Linked DNA regions of Sus scrofa. The protein of the gene in region 1 interacts with the protein of each later gene in a pairwise test. Links are inferred from orthologs where the notes say so. Each region holds a gene or a part of one and is shown on either strand. Other genes may lie near its edges.

Region 1 (5,201 bases):
GAGGCATCTCAGAAGGAGATGATGTCCTCCTTTTTGACAAGTCACCACCACCAAGACCAAAACTCAGTGCTTTAGCAGAAGCCAAAAAGGTAGCTGCCATGCGTTATCTTTACCACTGGAATGTGCATTCTGAGAGACACGGTTGGAGTTTTAAACATGATGTACCTGTGGCCAGGAAAGACAAGTCACCTCATGCTTGTTTATGGGTCATGACAATTAGAGTTGAAAGAATTTTAAATGATAATGGGTGTCGACATAGTGCCATTAATTTAATACAGCCATTATCTCCATTCTGTTTCCTGTCAGGCTGTAGGAGATAACTTAGAAGATACTGTTTTATAGCTAGACACCTTAGATTAGGGGGAAACGTCTTTGGAATTGTTTCAGCAATTGAATTGTCAAATAATAATTAGGAGAAGCCCTCTTTAAAAGAAATCTTACACAGGAGTTCCCGTCGTGGCGCAGTGGTTAACGATTCCGACTAGGAAACATGAGGTTGTGGGTTCAATCCCTGCCCTTGCTTAGTGGGTTAATGATCCGGCGTTGCCGTGACACGGCCCAAGAAATGGCAAAAAGACAAAAAAATAAAAAATAAAAAAAAAAGAAATCTTACACAGAAGTCCAGTCTGCAAACAGATAGAAGCTAAGTTGCTCTGACTGAAGTGGGAGTTGGGGGTAGTCAGAACCCCACCTGCTCAGCAGTTTCCACCTCTCCTCCTGAGTTGCCTGTGCCCCGACTAGAGCCTGTATTCTCTGTTTTGGGTAACAGCCAGAACCACAGGAAGGGCAAAGGCTGCCTGCAAGCCAAAGCTGTACCTATAATAATCGTAATAGCAATTACATGATATATTTCTAATATTCTGTGATATGTGCATACATTCTGTTTACTAGGTATGGGTACCTGTTTTGCTGGCATTATCTCATTTTATTCTCAGAACCCCAACTATAAAAGATAAGTTAGTGCTGTCATCCCCATTTTATAAATGTGGAAACTAAGGCTGAACAATTAGGTCAGGTTACATACTAGTAAGTGGCAGAGCTGGAACTCTATCCTAATTTTGTCTATTCTGAAACAAACTTCCAAAATGTTTGTGTGGTTCCTCTATGGGTCTCAAAGCCTGTGGATTAGCTAATGTTAAAGTAATTATTGATATTGAACTGAGCTGAAAGTTGGCTTCCCAACTTAGAGACCTGTCTTTCATTCTTTTAAAGTTTCATACTTGTGTTAACACTGCCAAGTAAAATGAAGATATATTTTGCTAATACATATCTGAGAACAGCCAGAATTTACTGCTTAATCACTGGAAATGGGCCCAGAGCTACAGGTGCTTATCTTTTAGATTTTCAGCTCCCTCTCTTTCTGTTTTTCTAGTTAGCTGCTATAACCAAATTAAGGGCAAAAGGCCAGATTCTTACAAAAACAGACCCAAACAGCATCCAGAAGAAACTAAAGAAACCTCAGGATGTCCTGGAAGTGAAGGAACGTGTGGAAAAGAACAGCACATTTTCTCTGCAAGGTACTGCAACTTTAAAACCTAGCAATGTGAAAGAGACACCACTTACAAAGGAAACATTCCAAAACGTAACCAGCTTCTCTGACATCAAAAGTCATTATTTTACTTCCGTTTACCTCTGTGAGGAATACCTAAATAGAATTTCTACAGCGAGAACTGATTGTTTCTTATAATCACATTAAATTAAAATGGAATTATGCACAACTTGAAAGCTTGAGATTATTTCATTGAATCTTTGCACATATATATTAGTATAAAGATTTACTTTGAAAGAAGTAGAATTCCTTGGCTTTAAATTGCCCGGTTTTTATCTTTTTTAAAACTCTGAAGTTGGCAGTGTCATTTTAACATCAGTTTGTGAATAGGGATTTTGTTGTTATCTCTGGTCATAATTGGCTCTTATTTTAAGGTGAAAAAGAGAGTCTAATTTAAACTACCCCTATTCTAGTTCTTACTTCTCAACTCACCTCTTCTTTTTTTTTTTTTTTTTTTGTCTTTTCTAGGGCCATACCCAAGGCAAATGGACGTTCCCAGGCCAGGGGTCCAATCGGAGCTTTAGTCGCCAGCCTACGCCAGAGCCACAGCAATGCGGGATCTGAGCTGTATCTGCAACCTACACCACAGCTCACGGCAGCGCCAGATTCTTAATCCACTGAGCGAGGCCAGGGATCGAACCCAAAACCTTATGGTTCCTAGTCAGATTCATCAACCACTGAGCCACAACGGGAACTCCTCAACTCACTTCTTTAAGAGCCTTATTTTCTGGTACCAAGGCGGGGGTGAATTCCCTTTGAAGGGTTGTAGAGGGAGGCAGAGGAAATAGGAGCAGCAGAGTCGGTGAGACTCACTGGCTGGGAAATGCCTCTGTAACGGCTCACACTTTTCCTTTTTGCTCTAGCTGAGGATGAACTGGAGCCTGCCAGGAAAAAAAGAAGAGAACAGCTTGCTTACCTGGAATCTGAGGAATTTCAGACACTTCTCAAAGCAAAATCAAGGCACACGGATGTTCTAAAAGAGGTATGAAAGAGCCCAGAAAGTCCAAGGTGACAGAGATATCCTCAGACCTGGGCACTTTTTTTTTTTTTTTAGGGTGTATCTGTGGCATGTGGAAGTTGCCTGACTGGGGATTGAATTGGAGCTTCAGCTTGCGGCAATGCCGGATCCTTAACCCACTGAGTGAGGCCAGGGATGGAATCCTCGGGGACACTATGTCGGATTCTTAACTCACTGAGTCGCAATGGGAACTCCTGCCCTTCTTTTGACTAACAAATGACTAAGGAGATGGTCGTATGTTATTTCTTTCTACTGGAATTGAAACTCATTCAGGAGAGGTGCTCAGGCCGACCCTGAAAAGACCTTACAGCAGAGCTCCTTGCTCTTGTCACCACCAAAGACCTTGCCTTTGTGCCTTGTGTAGCTGTGCTGGCTCCAGCACTGTGACCACATCCTACAGTAAAGATTTCTCTGCGCTTTTACCGTCTCACTATCATTCTAAACAAGCAGGGCTTGCTCCTGCCAAGTGCTTTGTCTTGAGAATATCGAATGGACTGGGGAGGCATCTGGCACCTCTGTAGCCGAGTCTGTATTGCAGCAGTAGAAATAGTTCCCTTGGGAGTTACTTCGTGGTGCAGTGGAAATGAATCCGACTAGGAACCATGAGGTTTCGGGTTCGATCCCTGGCCTCGCTCAGTGAGTGAAAGATTAGGCGTTACCATGACCTGTGGTATAGGTTGCAGACATAGCTTGGCTCTGGTGTTGCTATGGCTGTGGTGTAGGCTGGCAGCTGTAGCTCCAATTAGACCCCTAGCCTGGGAACCTCCATATGCCTCAGGTGCAGCCCTAAAATGCAAAAATAAATAAATAAATTTCTTTAAAAAAAGAAATAGTTAGCTTTTGGTGCACACTTGGCCTGATGACTTTGTTAATCATGTCAATAGTTTAAATTCATATTTAGTGTTTTACACATCACCAGATGCTTTCATACCCTCTTTTTGCCTATTAAGAGCTTGTTTCTAGTTAACTATCTTTGGCTTGCAGTTCATTGAGCCACTACCACGTGTCCTCATACGGTTAGCTTGTCTTTTCAGTTCTGATTTGATTATTATTGAACAGATGCTTGAATATATATTGGATCTGGTACGAGGTCTTCTGGGTGTCTTGTCATTCCAGGCTGAGGCTGAGCTACAAGAGCAGTATTTTGAACCCCTGGTGAAGAAAGAACAAATGGAAGAAAAAATGAGAAACATCCGGGAAGTGAAATGTCGAGTGGTGACGTGCAAGACGGTGAGTGCAGGAGACGGCTCTCAGCGGGGAGACTCGGGGGCCGTGGGGCCGTGTCTTGTGACTGGAGTCCTGCGAAGTTCATTTCATTGGGCTGGAAACTCAATGGCATGTGATAGCCCAGGACCTGTCTTCCCGTGACCCTCATGGCAGTGCCTTTGTGATGAGATGTTCCTCATTTGGCCACAGCTCGCAGTTCTGCGGACCAGCCTCTTCCCCCTTTACCTTTGGGCTTGAGTATTCCTCTCTCTCCTCCTCAAGTTTGAGCACATCCTTAGTCCATAGTTCCCAGTCCCTGGGGCCTTGTTTGAACAACTTGAGCACCAGGCCAGGGATTGAACCTGCACCTTCATAGTGACCCAAGCTGCTATAGTTGGGTTCTTTTTTTTTTTTTTTTTTAATGATTTTTATTTTTTCCAATATAGTTGGTTTACAGTGTTCTGTCAATTTTCTACTCTACAGCAAAGCGACCCAGTCACACATACATATATACATTCTTTGTCTTCTCACATTATCCTTCATCCTGCTCCATCCCAAGTGACTTGATATAGTTCCCAGTGCTATACAGCAGGATCTCATTGCTTATCCACTCTAAATGCAACAGTTTGAATCTACTAACCGTAAATTCCCAGTCCATCCCACTCCCTTCCCCTCCCCCTTGGCAACCACAAGTCTGTTTTCCAAGTCCATGAGATCCTTTTCTGTGGAAAGGTTTATTTGTACTGTACATTAGATTCCAGATATAAGTGATATATGGTATTTGTCTTTCTCTCTCTGACTTATTTTTCACTTAGTATGAGTCTCTGTTTCCATCCATGTTGCTGCGAATGGCATTATTTTGTTCTGCTTCATGGCTGAGTAGTATTCCATTGTGTGTGTACACCACATCTTCTTAATCCATTCATCTGTTGATGGATATTTAGGTTATTTCCATGTCTTGGCTATTGTGAATATTGCTGCAATGAACTATGGGTGCATGTATCTCTTTCAAGGAAAGTTTTATCTGGATATATGCCCAAGAGTGGGATTGCTGGGTCACATGGTAGTTCTATATATAGTTTTCTGAGGTATCTCCATACTGTTTTCCATAGTGCTTATACCAATGTTTTTTAAGGTTTTTTTCTTTGTTTTTTTTTTTTTTTTTGCAGTCGAATTCTTAACCCACTGCTCCACAGCAGGAATTCCTTTTATTTTATTTTTTTATTTTTTTGTCTTTTCTAGGGCTGCTCCCACGGCATATGGAGGTTTCCAGGCTAAGGGTCTAGTTGGAGCTGTAGCCGCCGGCCTATGCCAGAGCCACAGCCACACGGGATCCAAGCTGCATCTGTGACCTACACCATTCCTTTTAAATATACCTGCATAGCTAATCAGCCCTGTGAACATATATGAGAGGAGAAAGAGCTTACC
Region 2 (5,201 bases), on another chromosome or scaffold:
CATTTGTAAAATGGGGGTAATATTACTTACCTAATAAGGTTTTTGTGAGGGTTGCATGAATTATTGCTTCTGGATATACTTAGGGCAATAGTGACTGTCATATACTGAGGGCCCTAGAAGTCTTACTTCTGTCATATTAAAATCAGTTATTTCTGGAGTTCTCCCTTGTGGCCCAGCAAGTTAAGGACCCAGCATTGTCTATATGAGGATGCAGGTGTGATCCCTGGCTTGGCTCAGTGGGTTAAGGATCTAGTGAGCTGAAGCATAGGTTGCAGATCCAGCTCAGATTTCGTATTGCCATGGCTGTGTAGCTGCAGCTCTGATTCAACCCCTAGATTGGGAACTTCAGTATACCATGGGTGTGGCCATAAAAGGAAAAAAATATTAAATCAGTTAATTCTTTCAGGAGTAGTCTTAGAGCAGTTTAAAGGTATACATTTAAACTTTTGATTAAAACTGAAGAAACTTTTCTCAGAAACTTGAACCCATTAATACATCTTACGGTGGCATATTAGAGTTTGTTAGCCATAAATAATTTCTTAATGCCTGAGATAGCCTGAAGTGTTTATTGTTATAACTAATCAAAGTGATTTTCTGATTTCGAATTAGGTCACAGATTATGCCATTGCCAGGCGAATAGTAGACTTGCATTCAAGAATTGAGGATTCAATTGATCGTGTCTATTCCCTTGATGATATCAGGAGGTATCTTCTTTTTGCAAGACAGTTTAAACCCAAGGTAACCTGCCTTTTTGAATTGTAATCAGGCATTATGAGTATGTGAAAGTTACATTTAAACAAAAGCATCACCTGGAAATTAACTGAACTTGACTTGTTCGGGTGTTTTTTTTAAAGTTATTTGTTTTTTTTCGTTTGATCTTGAGGGCTTTTTTTTGAGAACAGTTTTCTTCAGTGAGAGCTGAGAAAAGGGAATTTTTTAAAAGTGAAAAATTAACATTTCTTTTACTTGTTAGATGCCAGTAAAAAGATTTTTGTAAGTGAATGAACATGAATAACTATCTTACAGTAATTGATGTAGTTTATTGGATTCTGTGCTGGATCCAGAGTATTGAGTTGGACATTTGTTTCTGAAATAAACCTCTATAATGCCTTTTTTTTTTTTTTTTTTTAAGCATTTTGCTAAAGTAGAATCAAAAACTTTGATTCTCATTGAGGTTTTTACACTATTTCTGGCTTGACTTTTGGGAGTTATCCTTAGATTTTAATTCTCCAGCTCCTTCGCTTGGTTATCTAAAATAATCAGGATTGACTCTCATGTCCCAAGAGAAGCATCACTTTAATTTGCAGAGGCATTTGTTCTCCATCACTGTATGCTGGTCCTTCTGTTACCTTGGTCTGCTTCCTTAACATGCTTACTTCCTAGCTCTGAAAAACTTAGGATTCTTTAGTATGCCTCACTTTGTTATTCAGTAGATACTAAGCTTTATCAAAATATCTGGTGTGTATATATATATATAGCAGTTCCCTCATATCCACAGGGGATATATTTCAAGACCCTTAGTGGATGCCTTTGACCACAGATAGTACCAAATCCTATATATACTATTTTTTTCTTACACATACATGCCTGTGATAAAGCTTAATTTATAAATTAGGCACAATAAGAGAGTAACTGAATAGCTAACATCACTATTCTTGCACTTTGGGGCTTTTATTAAGTAAAATAAGGGTTACTTGAGCACAAACCCTTTGTTACTGTAACAGTTGATCTGGTAACCAAGATGGGTACTAAGTGACTAATAGGCAAGTAGTATATACAGCATGGATATACTGGAAAAAGAGATGATTCACACCCTGGGTGGGACATTGGGTGACATAAGATTTCACTATACTACTCAGAACAGTGCACAATTTAAAACATATAAATTGTTTATTTCTGGGATTTTCTATGTAATCTTTTCAAACTGCAGTTGATCATGAGTAACAGAAAATGGAGCTACAGATAAAGTGGGACTACTATTAATTATTGACTCCTCTTTTTCCCAAAAACTGCATAAGTTAATTAGCTGCTCAAGAATAGCCTGAATGGTAGCTTCTTTAATGAGCTTTGGCATCTTAGGTATACATGTCCTTTAGAAATGGTCATTTGCTTAAATACTAACTCTGCTGTCTCCCTGTTCATAAAATTAGTATATGGAATTCACAGTCCTAAGTATCAGTTTCTTTTAAAAGACATTTCAGTATTAATTCCTTGTCATTGGTTTCAAAGCTTTGACCCTCTCAGTTCCCCCAGAATATCTCCACCTGGGAAGCTCTTAAACTTATGTTTAAGTAAAAATGCTGACTTCATTGATGTTCTGACACAGATTTCTAAAGAGTCAGAGGACTTCATAGTGGAACAGTATAAACGCCTTCGCCAGAGGGATGGTTCTGGAGTAACCAAGTCTTCATGGAGGATTACAGTGCGACAGCTCGAGAGCATGATCCGTCTTTCTGAAGCAATGGCTCGGATGCACTGCTGTGATGAGGTATCAAAATCACTTCAACATAATAGAGAAATCATTTGTTGACTTATGTAAGCCAGCTTTGGTGTAGGACATACTAGCATTAGCTGCAGATTTTTTTTTTCCTTTTATTTATTTTTTTTATTTTATTTATTTATTTTTGTCTTTTGTTGTTGTTGTTGCTATTTCTTGGGCCGCTCCCGCGGCATATGGAGGTTCCCAGGCTAGGGGTTGAATCGGAGCTGTAGCCACCGGCCTACGCCAGAGCCACAGCAACGCAGGATCCGAGCCGCGTCTGCAACCTACACCACAGCTCACGGCAACGCCGGATCGTTAACCCACTGAGCAAGGGCAGGGACCGAACCTGCAACGTCATGGTTCCTAGTCGGATTCGTTAACCACTGCGCCACGATGGGAACTCCCAGATTTTTTTTTTTAATGTGACTGTTGATTGCTCATATGATACGTGACTGTGGGATTTTTCCCTTGTAGAAGGTTGCTGTCAAGCATTTAATGAATTTAATAGTTAGATTAATAGTAATGAAATGATCATAATGTAGATTATAGATAAATATATAGTAGTGAGTTCAAGATTAATGCCATTCGTTTGAGAGAAACTTGTTTAAACCCTACAACGCGCCAGGCCTCTGGACTGGGGATACAGGTAGAATGACGTAGCCCACATTCTCCTAAGGAGAGTTGTCTTCCTTAGGTTTGTATAATGTGTGGATATTAAATTGTTCTTCGAGCCCTGGGTTGTACAGTGGATATTTAGAGGAGTAAACAGGGAGCAGAGTGGAAGAACATTCATGCCCTCATTTCTGCTTCGAGCAAACCAGCTTACTTTTATCTAGCTTTATATTTTTGACAGTGTTAGATTTTGTTTGAGGAAAGAGTTTGGCTATTTTTCTTAATAGTACGATTGATGTATAATTCACATAGAGGAAAATGTACAGGTTTGACTTTTTACATACACCCTTGGGGCCACCCAACTCAGAATATAGAACATTTACATCATTCTAGAAAGTTTGCACCCTTCCCCAGAAGTAACCACCGTTCTGACTTCATTAACCATTTCTATTCCATAGGTTTTATTTTTTGGCTTTTTTTTCCTTTTTGTTTAATTTTTCTTTCTTTTTTTTTTTTGTTTATTTTTTCTAATTCTCTGATAATGGTGCTTTACTAATTATAAAATACTTTCGCCCTATGTGACTTATTATCAAGTCAAGAGTCAAAGATTATCTTTCGATTCTTCTGACATTTAATGGACATTTAATGAATAAACGAGCTCCTGTCTTCCATTACTGATAATTTGGTGAGAGCAAGACATGTTTAATTAGGCATATTAAATATGAGTGGGAGACTGAGCTATTACCAGCAAAGAGTACAGAGATTAGTGAATTTTTTCCCAAAGAAGGAGTATCTGGGGAGATACCACATTCAAACATGATCACTGAAAAGTATATAGAATTTTTTTTTTTAATTTTTAGAGCCATACCTGTGGCATATAGGAGGTTCCCAGGCTAGGGGTCCAGTCAGATCTATAGCTGCCAACCACAGCCATAGCCACTACCATGGTGGCATCAGATCTGAGCTGTGTCTACGGCCTATACCACAGCTCATGGCAACCTCTGATCCTTAACCCACTGAGTGGGGCCAGGGATCGAACCTGCAACCTCATGGTTCCTAGTCGGATTCTTTTCCACTGCACCATGACAGAAACTCCGAAAAGTGCATAGAATTTTGATAGCCTTTTTTTGGGTCTTTTTGCCATTTCTAGGCCCACTCCCGCAGCATATGGTGGTTCCCAGGCTAGGGGTTGAATCAGAGCTGTAGTCGTGGGCCTACACCACAGCCACAGCAACATGGGATCCGAGCTGCATCTGCGACCTACACCACAGCTCCCGAAAATGCTGGATCCTTAACCCACTGAGCAAGGCCAGTAATCGAACCTGCAACCTCATGGTTCCTAGTTGGATTTGTTAACCATTGAGCCACGACGGGAACTCCTGATAGCCATTTTTAGAGTGAAGATAGAAAGTTTCAGAAAGAGCATAGGGTATTTGGAGGAATATAGTAGAGTTTGAAGAGAACAAACAAAAAACAGGTCATAGTGGAGAGGAATTCTTAAAAACCGTGCTGACGCATGTACTTTTTTTTTCTCCCCCATTATAATGTTTCCTAAAATAAGTTTCAGAGAATTGACATGTGTCTTTGGGGACTCTCTAATAGATTTTTCTTCTCCCTTTTTTTGGGGGGTGGGTGCGGTTTTCAGTAGGTAGCATATTCACATGAAATTATCATGATTCACATGATAAATAGACATGTATACACAAATACATTTTCTGAATAAAACTAATTTTTTGCATATATTTAAAAGTCATTTCTATCTCCTTTTATGATCATATTCTTTGTTCATTTTTTGCTTAGTTTCCTTAGAAAGGCTTCCCCCTACTCTTAAGATTATAAAAGAATTCTGTCAGGATTTCCTTAAGCACTTAGATGGTTTCATGGTTTGTATTTATTTATTTATTTATTATTTTTTTCTTTTTTTCTTTTTCCCATTTCTTGGGCCGCTCCCATGGCACATGGAGGTTCCCAGGCTAGGGGTTGAAACGGAGCTGCAGCTGCCAGCCTATGCCAGAGCCACAACAATGCAGGATCTGAGCCGTGTCTGCGACCTACACCTCAGCTCCATCCTTAACTCACTGAGCAAGGCCAGGGATTGAACCTGCAA
Region 3 (5,746 bases), on another chromosome or scaffold:
GGCTGCTGCTTGCCCCCAGCTGCTGCACAGGAGAAGGATGGGCCCCGCTGTCCTGTCTCCCTACTTTCAGAAAGAGGAGGAGGTTTTGATTTTCCTGAGACATCTCAGGTTTTTAGGTATCGGCAACTGTAGGAAGCAGCTGGCCTCCGCTTCCTCTTCCCAAGGCCTCGCTAGATACAGGCGTTTCCACGCACTCGTCAGTGAAACACAACTCTGCTCTCTGGGTTAAGAGGAGCCAGGGAGGACGCACGATGTCCACAGGCGCCCCCAGTCCTCCACCTGCTTCCCTTCCAGCAGCCTCCGGAGGCCCTCCCTGCCTCTCACCTCACGCCGGATGGAGGTTACTACTTGGCCAAACGAAGCATTGACAGCTCATAGATGCTGGCCTTGACCCTGTGCAGAAAAAGACCCAGGAAAGGGTTCCTTTGTCCAACATTCGTGAAGAACGAGCCAGCAGCTGTCATCGGTGAGACCCTCCTTCACTCGGTCCAGGGGGTCGGGTGAGGCCGCAGAGCACTGGCCACTGGGTGGTACCTCCCACGGGCCCAGGGTCAGAGTGGCTGTCAGAGGTGTGTAAAGGGGCATGAGTGTGAACAAGTGCGTGTGTGTGTTCAGTGGAGCTCGGAGACGTGGTTGTGAGGGTCTTCAGGCTTGGGGAGCTCCCTGACGCCTGTTCGGAGGGCCTGGTGCAGACGCAGCGCAGGCCTGGGCTCGAATCTGACACTGACGTTTGGTCCAAAGGCACCCGGTTGGCTGGCACGTCCATGTGGTGAAGCGACAGCGACGGTGCTCACCCCAGGACGGAGAGGTGGTGACTCAGGACAACTTGCCCCGTTCCCCAGGCGCGCCCAGCCAGCGCTGCAGCCACTCTGCTTCTGGGGCCTGGACGAGCTCCCCTCTCCTCCTGCCCCCACCCCTTCCCAGCCAAGGCCAGTCCAAGTGTAGGAGAAGCCTAGGACGTGCCAGGCTGCCAGGCTGCCAGGGCCCTAGAGGACCCCTCTGGCCACCCAGCCCACAGAGCTGACACATGCCCATCCTCAGGTCTCTGTTGCCAACCTCTTCCTTGAGATGGGCTGACCCTTCCATTTGGGGCTCAAGTTTGATGGGCCTGGAGCCTCCCTGGAATGTTCTAGAAAGCTGTAAAAGCCTCGGGACCAGGCTTCAACACCTCCAGCCTGAGGTGACCGGCAGCAGGAGGAAGCAGTGGTGTTTGAGTGTGGACTGCAGCTTGGCTGACAAGCTTCTTTTTTGGGGGGACAGTGACAGAAACCTTTTGTTTGCCTCCATTTACTTCTGATAGCCAGGATATTTGCTGACTGCTTCTAGCCTCCTGGCTGCAGCAGCTCCACTCAAGGGCACCTGGTTGGTGACCACAAGCCTGGCCTTGGAAGTCCGGAGGCCCTCCTCGGTCATGTAGGATGCAGAACACTGGGCGGTATCTGGACTAGAACTTTTGTCAGTTACGTGACAGTCTTGACTCAAAGTCTTACTGAGTGGTCAGTGAATGACTCAGGCCCCAAGAGGCCTGTGCATGAGTTTGGAAGCCTTCCCTGCTCAGGAGAGACTTGGCTCCCCTGATGCCTCCCCTGCACCTCAGCCCTCTGTGTGCACCCTACACCTTTCCCTGAACCCCCTGTTCCTATACCCCATCTATAGCCCCCAGGCTACTCCCCCCCCACCCCTGGGAGCTGTGATAGTCAAGGCTGGGGTGAGAGGTACCAGGGGCACCTCCAGACACCAGGAGACCCAGAAGGGAGGGGGCAGCCTCAGACCCAGAATGGAAATCTCTAAAGGTGAGACACAGGACAATGAACCCCGTGTCAGCTATGAGTCTTAAAGCAGGACTTCATACTCCATCATTTGGAAATTGAGGGTGGGGACAGAGGACGACCCCTAGAACCCCCCCCCCAGAACCTGGGGCGCCCGGAGCCCAGGACGCAGGCAAATCTAGGGGTGGGTAGGGTTCCCAGGTGGGGCAGGTCCCCAAGTGAGGGAGGGTCCTCAGGTAAGCCCTGGGGCGTGTTTCGACTTTCCCAACCCCTTCTCCAGGCTTCCTTGGCGGTTTCCCCACACCCGACGGAGGTCCTCGGCCCCGGCCCCGCCCCAGGCCCCGCCCCCGGCCCCGCCCCCGGCCCCTTCCTCCGTCCAGCGCGCAGGCGCGGGCGAGCGCGGGCAGGTGCGCGCCGTTTGAAAGCATGGCGCCGGCGGCGCGGCTGGTGCTGTGTGAGGAGAAGATCCGGGAGAAGAGCGGCCTGGCGCCTCACTGCGACCTGGGTGCGCGCTGGGCGGCGGGCGGGCGGCGCTGGCCGGGGGCACGAGCTTCCCGCCTCGGGGGTCTGCGGTCGGTCAGGCCCGAGGGGCCAAAACGCTCCCGCGCGGCTACCGAATGGTCGCGGGCCTCGAGGGCGAGGGAGCGGGTGGCTGGCCGCCCCGGGGGCCGGGCCGGGGGCGGGTGAGTCGGGGCCGGGCCGGGGGGGCGGGGGTGGGGGTGGGGGTCGCCCTCCGGGAGCGTGGGGAGGAGGGAGCGGATCCCGCCCCGAGGGAGGTGGGGCCCGGGGGTGCCCCGTGCACGCCCGGCTGGCCGAGCCCTTTGAGGGGTGCTTTTTGCGTTGCTCGGTAAGACCGCTTGGGTGATGAAGTGGGTTAGATGGGCTTTCTAATCTAAGGCCCGAGCGCCCTCGTCTCTGAGGACCAGCCCGTCCTCCTCCTGTGGGTGTTTTCCTGGACGCGGCCCCTCCTGGGCAAGGGTCTCTGTCCCTGGGCTCATGACGGGTATTGGTCGCTAGTTTTCTTTTTCCCTGTTTTTGTCTGGTTTGGGCATCAAGGTAGTGCCGAGCTCATGAAATCGCTGGTAAGTTGTTTTCTAGAGGAGTTTGTGTAAAATTGATGCTGAGTTTCCAGTGAAACCTCCTGGGCCTGGACGTTTCTGTATTTGAAACTTTGAAATTACAAATTCTCCAGTTGTTATAGAATTATTCATGTTATCAACTTCATTTTAGGTGAGTTACAGTTGTCTGGGGTTTTAGGAAAACAACTGATCCTTTTCGTCAAAGTTGTTAAATTTATATGTATAGAGTTTGTGGTATTTCTTTGTTAGCCTGTTAATGTCTGTGGTCTGTGTGATACTCTTCTATTCTTGCTATTGGTCATTTTTGTCTTCTGTCTTGGTCTTTGTAGAGGTTTATTAATTTTATTAATCTTTTCAATGGGCTAACTTTGGAGTTTTCTCCATTGGTTTTCTGCTTTCACATTTTATTGGTTCTATATTCTTTATTCTTCTTTCTCCTGTTTTGCATTTATTTGCTCTTTTTCTCAGTTCAGCAGATGGAAGTTTAGATTACTAATTTGAGACCTTTTTATATAACGTAAACTTTTAGTACTAAAAATTTCCTTCTAGGAGTTCCCGTCATGGCTCAGTGGTTAACAAATCTGAGTAGCATCCATGAGGATGCAAGTTCAAACCCTGGCCTTGCTCAGTGGGTTAAGGATCTGGTGTTGCTGGGAGCTGTGGTGTAGGCTGGCAGTTGTAGCTCCAATTGGACCCCTAGCCTGGGAACTTCCATATGCCACTGGTGCGGCCCTAAAAAGCATAAAAAAAAAAAAAATTCCCTCTAGGCACAGCTTTAGCTGCATCTGCAGGTTTTGTTGTATTTTCATTTAGTTTGCTCTTTTTCATGAGTTCTCTTGACTTCCTTTTTGACCTATGGATTATTCAGAAGCGTGTCTTTTCATATTCATATGGAAATTTTCTTAGGTTTTTTTTTTTTTTCTGGTCTTTTTGCTATTTCTTGGGCCGCTCCCGCAGCATATGGAGGTTCCCAGGCTACACCGCAAGCAGCTCACGGCAACGCTGGATCGTTAACCCACTGAGCAAGGGCAGGGACCAAACCCGCAACCTCATGGTTCCTCGTCGGATTCGTTAACCACTGTGCCATGAAGGGAACTCCTCTTTCTTTCTGTTATTGATTCTGGTGTAATTCCATGATGGTCAGAAGACATACTCTAGGGAGTTCCTGTCGTGGCTCAGTGGTAGTGAACCAGACTAGTATCCATTAGAACTCCAGTTCCATCCCTGGCCCCGCTCAGTGGGTTAAGGACCCTTAATTGCCGTGAGCCACAGTGTAGGTTGCAGATGCAGCTTAGATCTGGTGTGGCTGTGGCTTAGGCCAGCAGCTGTAGCTCTGATGCAACCTCTAGCCTGGGAACCAACATATACCACGGGTGCAGCCCTAAAAAAACAAAAAAAAAAAACCCACCAAAACAAAAAAAGAAAACATATTTCATATGCTCTGTACTGTTTTAAATTTGTTGAGGTTTGTTTAATGGCCCAAGACCTGGTCTCTATTGGTAAATGTTCTAAGAGCACTTGGGAGGAGCGTGTCCCCTGTCACTTACTGGAATGTAAAATTCCGTTTGATCCTGGTGACTTAAGATGTTGTGCGGGTCTTTTATGGCCCCGCTGATTTTCCATGTAGTGATTCTGTTAATTACCAGGAGAAGAGTATTGAAAATTACAACTATAATTGTGGAATTATATTACTGTTTTCACTCTTTATGTTTTGAAACTGTGCTGTTTAGTGCATACATTTTTAGGATTTTTAAGTCCTCTTTTTGGAGTGACCTTTGTAGCATATGTAATATTTCTCCTTATCCCTGATAATTTTCTGTGGTGAGACATCTGCTTTATCTGATCTTAATGTAGCCGCTCCAGCTTTCTTTGGTTTGGTTTGCAGGGCATATCTTTACCCATCTGTTTACAATCTCATTTTTAAACTACCTATATCATAATATTTGAAATGAGTTTCTTGTAGGCCGTGTATATTGTATATTATTTTTATCCACTGCCAGTTTCTGTCTTGTATAGTGTATTTAGACCATTTACATTTAATGTAAGTATTTTTAAGATTATTTTTTCCATTACAGTTGGTTTACAGTATTCTGTTAATTTCTACTGTGCAGCAAAGTGACCCAGTCACACATACATATACATTCTTTTTCTCACATTATCCCCTATCATGTTCCATCATAAGTGACTAGATATAGTTCCCTGTGCTGTACAGCAGGATCTGACGGCTTATCCACTCCAAATGCAATAGTTTGCATCTGTTAACCCCAGACTCCCAGTCATCCCACTCCCTACCCCTTGGCAACCACAAGTCTGTTCTCCAAGTCCATGAGTTTCTTTTCTGTGGAAAGGTTTGTTTGTGCCATGCATTAGATTCCAGATATAAGTGATATCATATGGTATTTGCCTTTCTCTTTCTGATTTACTTTACTTAGTATGAGAGTCTTTAGTTCCATGTTGCTTCGAATGGCATTATTTTGTTCCTTTTTATGGCTGAGTAATGTTCCATTGGGTGTATATACCACATCTTCTTAATTCATTCATGTGTCAGTGGGCATTCAGTTTGTTTCCATGTCTTGGCTATTGTGAATAGAGCTGCAGTGAACATAAGTGGTGCATGTATCTTTTTCAAGGAAAGTTTTATCCAGATATATGCCCAGGAGTGGGATTGCTGGATCAAATGTAGTTCTATTTTTAGTTTTCTGAGGAATCTCCATACTGTTTTCCACAGTGGTTGGACCAATTTACGTTCCCACCAACAGCGTAGGAGGGTTCCCTTTTCTCCACATCCCCTCCAGCATCTGTAGACTTACTCAAGAAGGCCATTCTGACAGGTGTGTGAAGTGGTACCTCATAGTAGTTTTGATATGCATTTCTCTAATAATGAGTGATGTTGAGCAT
Region 4 (5,201 bases), on another chromosome or scaffold:
TCAATGGGTTAAGGATCCAGTGTTGTTGCAAGCTGTGGCATAGGTTGCAGATGTGGCTTGGATGTGGCTGTGGTATAGGCCAGCAGCTGCAGCTCTGGTTCTACCCTAGCCTGGGAATTTCCATGTGCTGCAGGTTTGGCCCTAAAAAAAAAAAAGTAACCTTAAAGTATCAGAGACCTTACTTTTTTTTTTTCTTAACAGAATGAGATAGTCCTGGTAGTTGTTTAAATATGTTAGAGCTCATTTTCACCGAATTAGGATAATAATATTGTATAACCTTGTGTGAACTATGCCTTTTGAGATTTTTGTTTTTTGTCAACTTTTTTTCCATTTCTCCCACGCTTTTCAAAGACATTCATGCTGGGTTGTATTATGTCCCTTAGGTCTTTTACATGAATTTCATGTGGAACAAAGCATTTCTAGCAATTTTAACACTGCTTTTCTGCTTTCATCTCATTTTTTTTTTTTCCTCTGTGAAGGTGTCCTCCAAAACTCTCATTTGGAATCTTCCCAAAAGATTTGCATATATGGTCATCGGTACCTTTATCTCTCTCCCAGGAAAGAAACTCAAATCCCAGCCACGTCAGTTAAACTTGCATCTATTCAAAAGAGAGTGATTGTGGAAAGTATTGTCTGTGAATGTGCTCAATTAATTAATATCCTTCTGATCTAGGTTACGGATATTAAATACATTTCTAATTTTAAACAATGGAATAGTTCTACCTTGGAGACTGAAAAGAACTTTCAATTAAATTTAGAGAAAGATTAATATCCCTTAAGTTTTTACTTAAAATTTTATAGAATTTTAAGATCTGGATAATTACCAAATCTACAAGGACAGATGGTGGCTTAGTTTTCTGTTTCAATTCAAGCTTGAGCAGTGGAAAGGTGTTATAATCATTAAAGATTGTCTTGTCCTCCCCGTTACCCAACCTGTTTGTTTGTTTGGTTGGTTTTTGCTTTTTAGGGCCGAATCTACAGCATATGGAAGTTCCCAGTCTAAGGGTTGAATTGAAGCTACAGCTGCTGGCCACAGTCACATCTGCAACCTACACCACAGCTCATTGCAACGCCGGATCATTAACCCACTGAGCAAGGCCAGGGATCGAACTTGTGTTTTCATGGGTTCTAGTCAGATTCATTACTACTGAGCCACAATGGGAACTCCCCAACCTGGATTTATACATGTTCCTTTCAAGGTGAAGCTGCAACTCACTTTTATGTTTTATTTTGGAGACTTAAATCTGCCGTTAGTCATAATGTTTAAATGTGTATGAATGTACACTTTGGTCTAAACTGTAAAATCCTTTATAAATGTGTAAAGCTCTTAGCTAAAACCCTCATTTTTAATAATGGTTAATTATATCATTAGTCTGGCTTATGTGATGTTTTCCAGCTGTGTCTTTTTTCCTTGCCTGATTTAAGTTAGTGTAAACAAAAATTTTAAATACTAACAACAAATCATTCAAAAAATAGAAGTTAAAAAAGAATATTAAGTTAAAATTCTCCATTTTGATTCCCATCTGCTTTTATTTCCAATCCCCTGCCCACATACATTCCTGCTGTTCTTAATTATTCTTCTTCTGGCCACAGCCATGGCATGTGACAGTTCCCAGGCCAGGGATTGAACCCACACCGTAGCAGTGACCTGAGCTGCCACAGGGCCAAGGCCATATCCTTAACCCATTGCACAACAAGGGAAATCGCTGTTCTTAATATTTTATACATGCTGTATCTCCTCAGTTTTTATGCATATTTTAAGTAACTGTGACCATATAGGTTTTTTAATACAAAAGGTGCACCTTGTTTTTTCACTTAGTGTATCTCAAGTCTTTCCATATTGATGAGAATATATTATTTAGGCCTTCTATTTACATTTTTTTTTTTTTTGTCTTTTTGTCTTTTTTGTTGTTGCTATTTCTTGGGCCGCTCCCGCGGCATATGGAGGTTCCCAGGCTAGGGGTTGAATCCGAGCTGTAGCCACCGGCCTACGCCAGAGCCACAGCAATGCAGGATCCGAGCCGCGTCTGCAACCTACACCACAGCTCACGGCAACACCGGATCGTTAACCCACTGAGCAAGGGCAGGGACCGAACCCGCAACCACTGCGGATTCGTTAACCACTGCGCCACGACGGGAACTCCTACATTTATTTTTAAACAGGAACTTTTACTGGGATGATTGTAGATTCATAAGCAGTTATAGGAAATAATAACTGTGTACCTTACCTAGTTTCCCCTAATGGGAGCATTTTGCAAAATGCTGATCCATCGTCATAACCAGGATATTGACATTTATGCAGTCTACCACTTTATAACCTTTCATTGTGAGTCTTCTAGTGAAAATTTTAAGAATTAAACTTGAATTTAGCATTAAACACCAGTGCCCTATACCTACTTAGTTTCCTTAGTTTCTGGACAAGAAGACAATCTAGATTATTATATCCCTGACTAGTTATACAAAAATATCAGGTTATTTTCTTTCTCTTTGAGGACTAATGCTAAAGGAGGTCGTCTGGAAGGAATGCAAATGACTGACTTGGAAAATAATTCTGAAACTGGGGAATTACAGCCTATACTACCCGAAGGAGCTTCATCTGCCCCAGAGGAAGGTAAGGAATGATAAAGCCATAATTGGGTGGGAGGCAGAATAATGATTTTTTTTTATTTTTTTTTTTTTTTTGGTGGTGGTGGGGAGTAGTGGGTATAATAAAAAATTACTGAGATATCTGTCTGACATGCTTGATCTGAAAACAGCCTTCAGTGTTCCACTAAGTTTGATTTACTAAGATGTTGAGCATGGGGGAAGGCAAAACGGGTAACTGACTACATAAAGGGACACTTATTAGAAGGGGCACTTGCAGGGGGAAAGATCTGTAGATACTTCATTTGCTCATTCATTAAATGTGTTATGCCACCTACAGGTAGACATTGCTTTTTGGCTATATATGAAAAGACAAAATTGGATATGTGCACTGTCTTATGGGAAAACCATACCCCCAAACAACTAATTAGAGTAGTAAATGTTAAGTACCTCATCTTTTAAAGATTAACTCATCTTTAATTAGTTGTGATTAATGTTCATGGATTGCTTGCTCTTAGAGAAGTATTCCAAAATTTAACTACTTAAAAAAAATCCTTTGTGTGGTAATCAACTTCTCTCTGCTAGTTTATTCTCAGTTACATTTCTGGTATTCTTCTACATGTTCTTCCAGGTTCATTATGCTTTATCTAAAAGCATAGAACACATTTTGTAATTTTGAGTTAATGGAAGCTGCTTGAAACAAGGCTGTGTATGTTGTCCTTGCTTGTCCTTTATTTGTTAGAAAAATACATCAACTTTATTAATGATATTTGACATTGAAGTTTTTTTCATTTCTCAGTGGAACTGTGCCACCTACCACCTCTGCACTCATTTAAATTTTCAACAATTGATGAATTGTAGCTCAGAGCATATATAACAGGTGCCAGCATCTACCTCTGGCTGCCCTGAGAATATGTGTGGGTGGTGGTGTGTTCAGGTTCTTTAGTTAAAGAACACTAAACATTTTGATCTTTCCTCTTTGTTGGTGCTCCTGTGGCAGGCATCATTATCTCGGTAGATGAGATTTAATGGAAAAGATATTTAAAATGAAATGTTGTTTTGTTGTTTTTTTAATTTTATTTTTTTGTCCACACCGTGGTCCACAGACATTCCTAGGCCAGGGATAAAACCTGAACTGCAGCATTGACCTGAGCTGCAACATTGACAACTCTGGGTCCTTACACACTGAGCCACAGAGGAACTGCTAAAGTGAAGTGTTGATTATTATAACATTAGGGGGAAAATATCATGATTGTTGATCTTTATAGAACTGACCTGTAGGGATTAGCTAGTTTCCATGTATTTGTACATGCTGATTATAAATTTTAGTGCCTTAAATTTTTGTAGCAAGTGCTGTAATTATAGGATCCTTTTATTTATGCAGCGTTTGTGTACTGCTTCTAATTTGCCTGGCATTGTTTTGATGCTGGTGATAAAGTAATTCCTGGACCTACTGCTTAATTTAGTGTTTTCTGCTTGACACCATTGACATTTTAGGTGAGGTGATTCTTTGTATTAGAGGGCTGCCCTGTGTATGGTAGAATGTTTAGAAGCATTCTTGGTTTTTAACCACTACCTACCAGTAGTACCACCTCTGAATTACAGTAACCAAAAATATTTCCAGATATTGCCAAATGTCCTCTGAGAGGCAAAATCATCCCCAGTTGAGAACCACTGGTTGAGTTGAATAACTCAGCTAGGGGTGCCAACTCCTTAAGGGTCAGGTGCCAGAGTTACAGATGGGACCAGGTTGTAGTTCTTGGGTACACTGGATATGCGTAGGCGATGGTGGGAGCTGGGCCGGGAGAGCAGTTGAAAAACCAGCCATCAGGGGAGTTCCCTTGTGTTGTAGTGGTTAGGACTTGGCACTTTAATTATGTAGCCTGGGTTCAGTTCCTGATCTGGGAACTGGGATCCCACATCAAGCCACTGGATGCTGCAGCCAAATGAAAAAATAAAGGAATTCCCTAATGGCTTATGGGATTAAGGATCTGGTATTGTCAGCTCATAGCAGTGGCTCAGATTCTGTCCTTGGCCTGTGAACTTCTGTGTGCCATGCGTGTGGCCAAAAATAAAAAGTAAAAGCAAGAAAGGAGAAAAAATAAACCACTGCTTAGGTATCAGAGGCCAGTTAATAGCCAATTTTAACTCATTCTATGAGACCACCATCACTCTGATACCAAAACCAAAGATGCCACAGAAAAACTTACAGACCAATTTCACTGATGAACATAGATGCAAAAATCCTCAACAAAATGCTAACAAACCAAATCCAACAATACATTAAAAGGATCGTACATCATGATCAAGTGGAATTTATCCCAGTAATGCAAGGATTCTTCAATAACTGCCTTCACCTCAAAAATTCACAACATGTCAGCAATTTTTTAGGTAAATAGCTAGTTAGCACTGCAAAAAGTTTTGACATTCGTTCCATTTCTTTTTCAAAGCTAATCATTAACAGCTTATTCTCAACTGGAAAAAGGCATTTTCCTGACTACATTTAGGACCGCTTATGCACTTTCAAGTGCGTGAACCTGAGATGTAGTACTAAGTGGTCAGTCTTTTCCTTATTTAAGGAGTGTTATGGTGATATAAAGACCTACATACAGGCCAAT

The links.
Region 2: the proteins of MCM10 (region 1) and MCM6 interact in binary tests that used the Homo sapiens proteins (3 or more experiments, as listed by UniProt). The two-hybrid records come from large-scale screens. The link is inferred for Sus scrofa from reciprocal best matches to the Homo sapiens genes MCM10 and MCM6.
Region 3: the proteins of MCM10 (region 1) and CEP72 interact in a two-hybrid assay, tested with the Homo sapiens proteins (2 studies listed by BioGRID and IntAct). The two-hybrid records come from large-scale screens. The link is inferred for Sus scrofa from reciprocal best matches to the Homo sapiens genes MCM10 and CEP72.
Region 4: the proteins of MCM10 (region 1) and TRIM37 interact in a two-hybrid assay, tested with the Homo sapiens proteins (2 studies listed by BioGRID and IntAct). The link is inferred for Sus scrofa from reciprocal best matches to the Homo sapiens genes MCM10 and TRIM37.

The regions. Positions count from the first base shown.
Region 1 is NC_010452.4:48,491,824-48,497,024, reverse strand, and holds part of MCM10 (protein MCM10 homolog), read left to right. Parts: coding exon 1-89; intron 90-1,372; coding exon 1,373-1,517; intron 1,518-2,412; coding exon 2,413-2,531; intron 2,532-3,683; coding exon 3,684-3,797; intron 3,798-5,201. UniProt on the Homo sapiens protein: Acts as a replication initiation factor that brings together the MCM2-7 helicase and the DNA polymerase alpha/primase complex in order to initiate DNA replication. Additionally, plays a role in preventing DNA damage during replication.
Region 2 is NC_010457.5:15,950,515-15,955,715, forward strand, and holds part of MCM6 (DNA replication licensing factor MCM6), read left to right. Parts: intron 1-609; coding exon 610-738; intron 739-2,326; coding exon 2,327-2,488; intron 2,489-5,201. UniProt on the Homo sapiens protein: Acts as a component of the MCM2-7 complex (MCM complex) which is the replicative helicase essential for 'once per cell cycle' DNA replication initiation and elongation in eukaryotic cells.
Region 3 is NC_010458.4:79,587,682-79,593,427, reverse strand, and holds the start of CEP72 (centrosomal protein of 72 kDa), read left to right. Parts: upstream 1-2,169; 5' UTR 2,170-2,195; coding exon 2,196-2,274; intron 2,275-5,746. UniProt on the Homo sapiens protein: Involved in the recruitment of key centrosomal proteins to the centrosome.
Region 4 is NC_010454.4:35,284,679-35,289,879, reverse strand, and holds part of TRIM37 (E3 ubiquitin-protein ligase TRIM37), read left to right. Parts: intron 1-2,492; coding exon 2,493-2,611; intron 2,612-5,201. UniProt on the Homo sapiens protein: E3 ubiquitin-protein ligase required to prevent centriole reduplication. Probably acts by ubiquitinating positive regulators of centriole reduplication.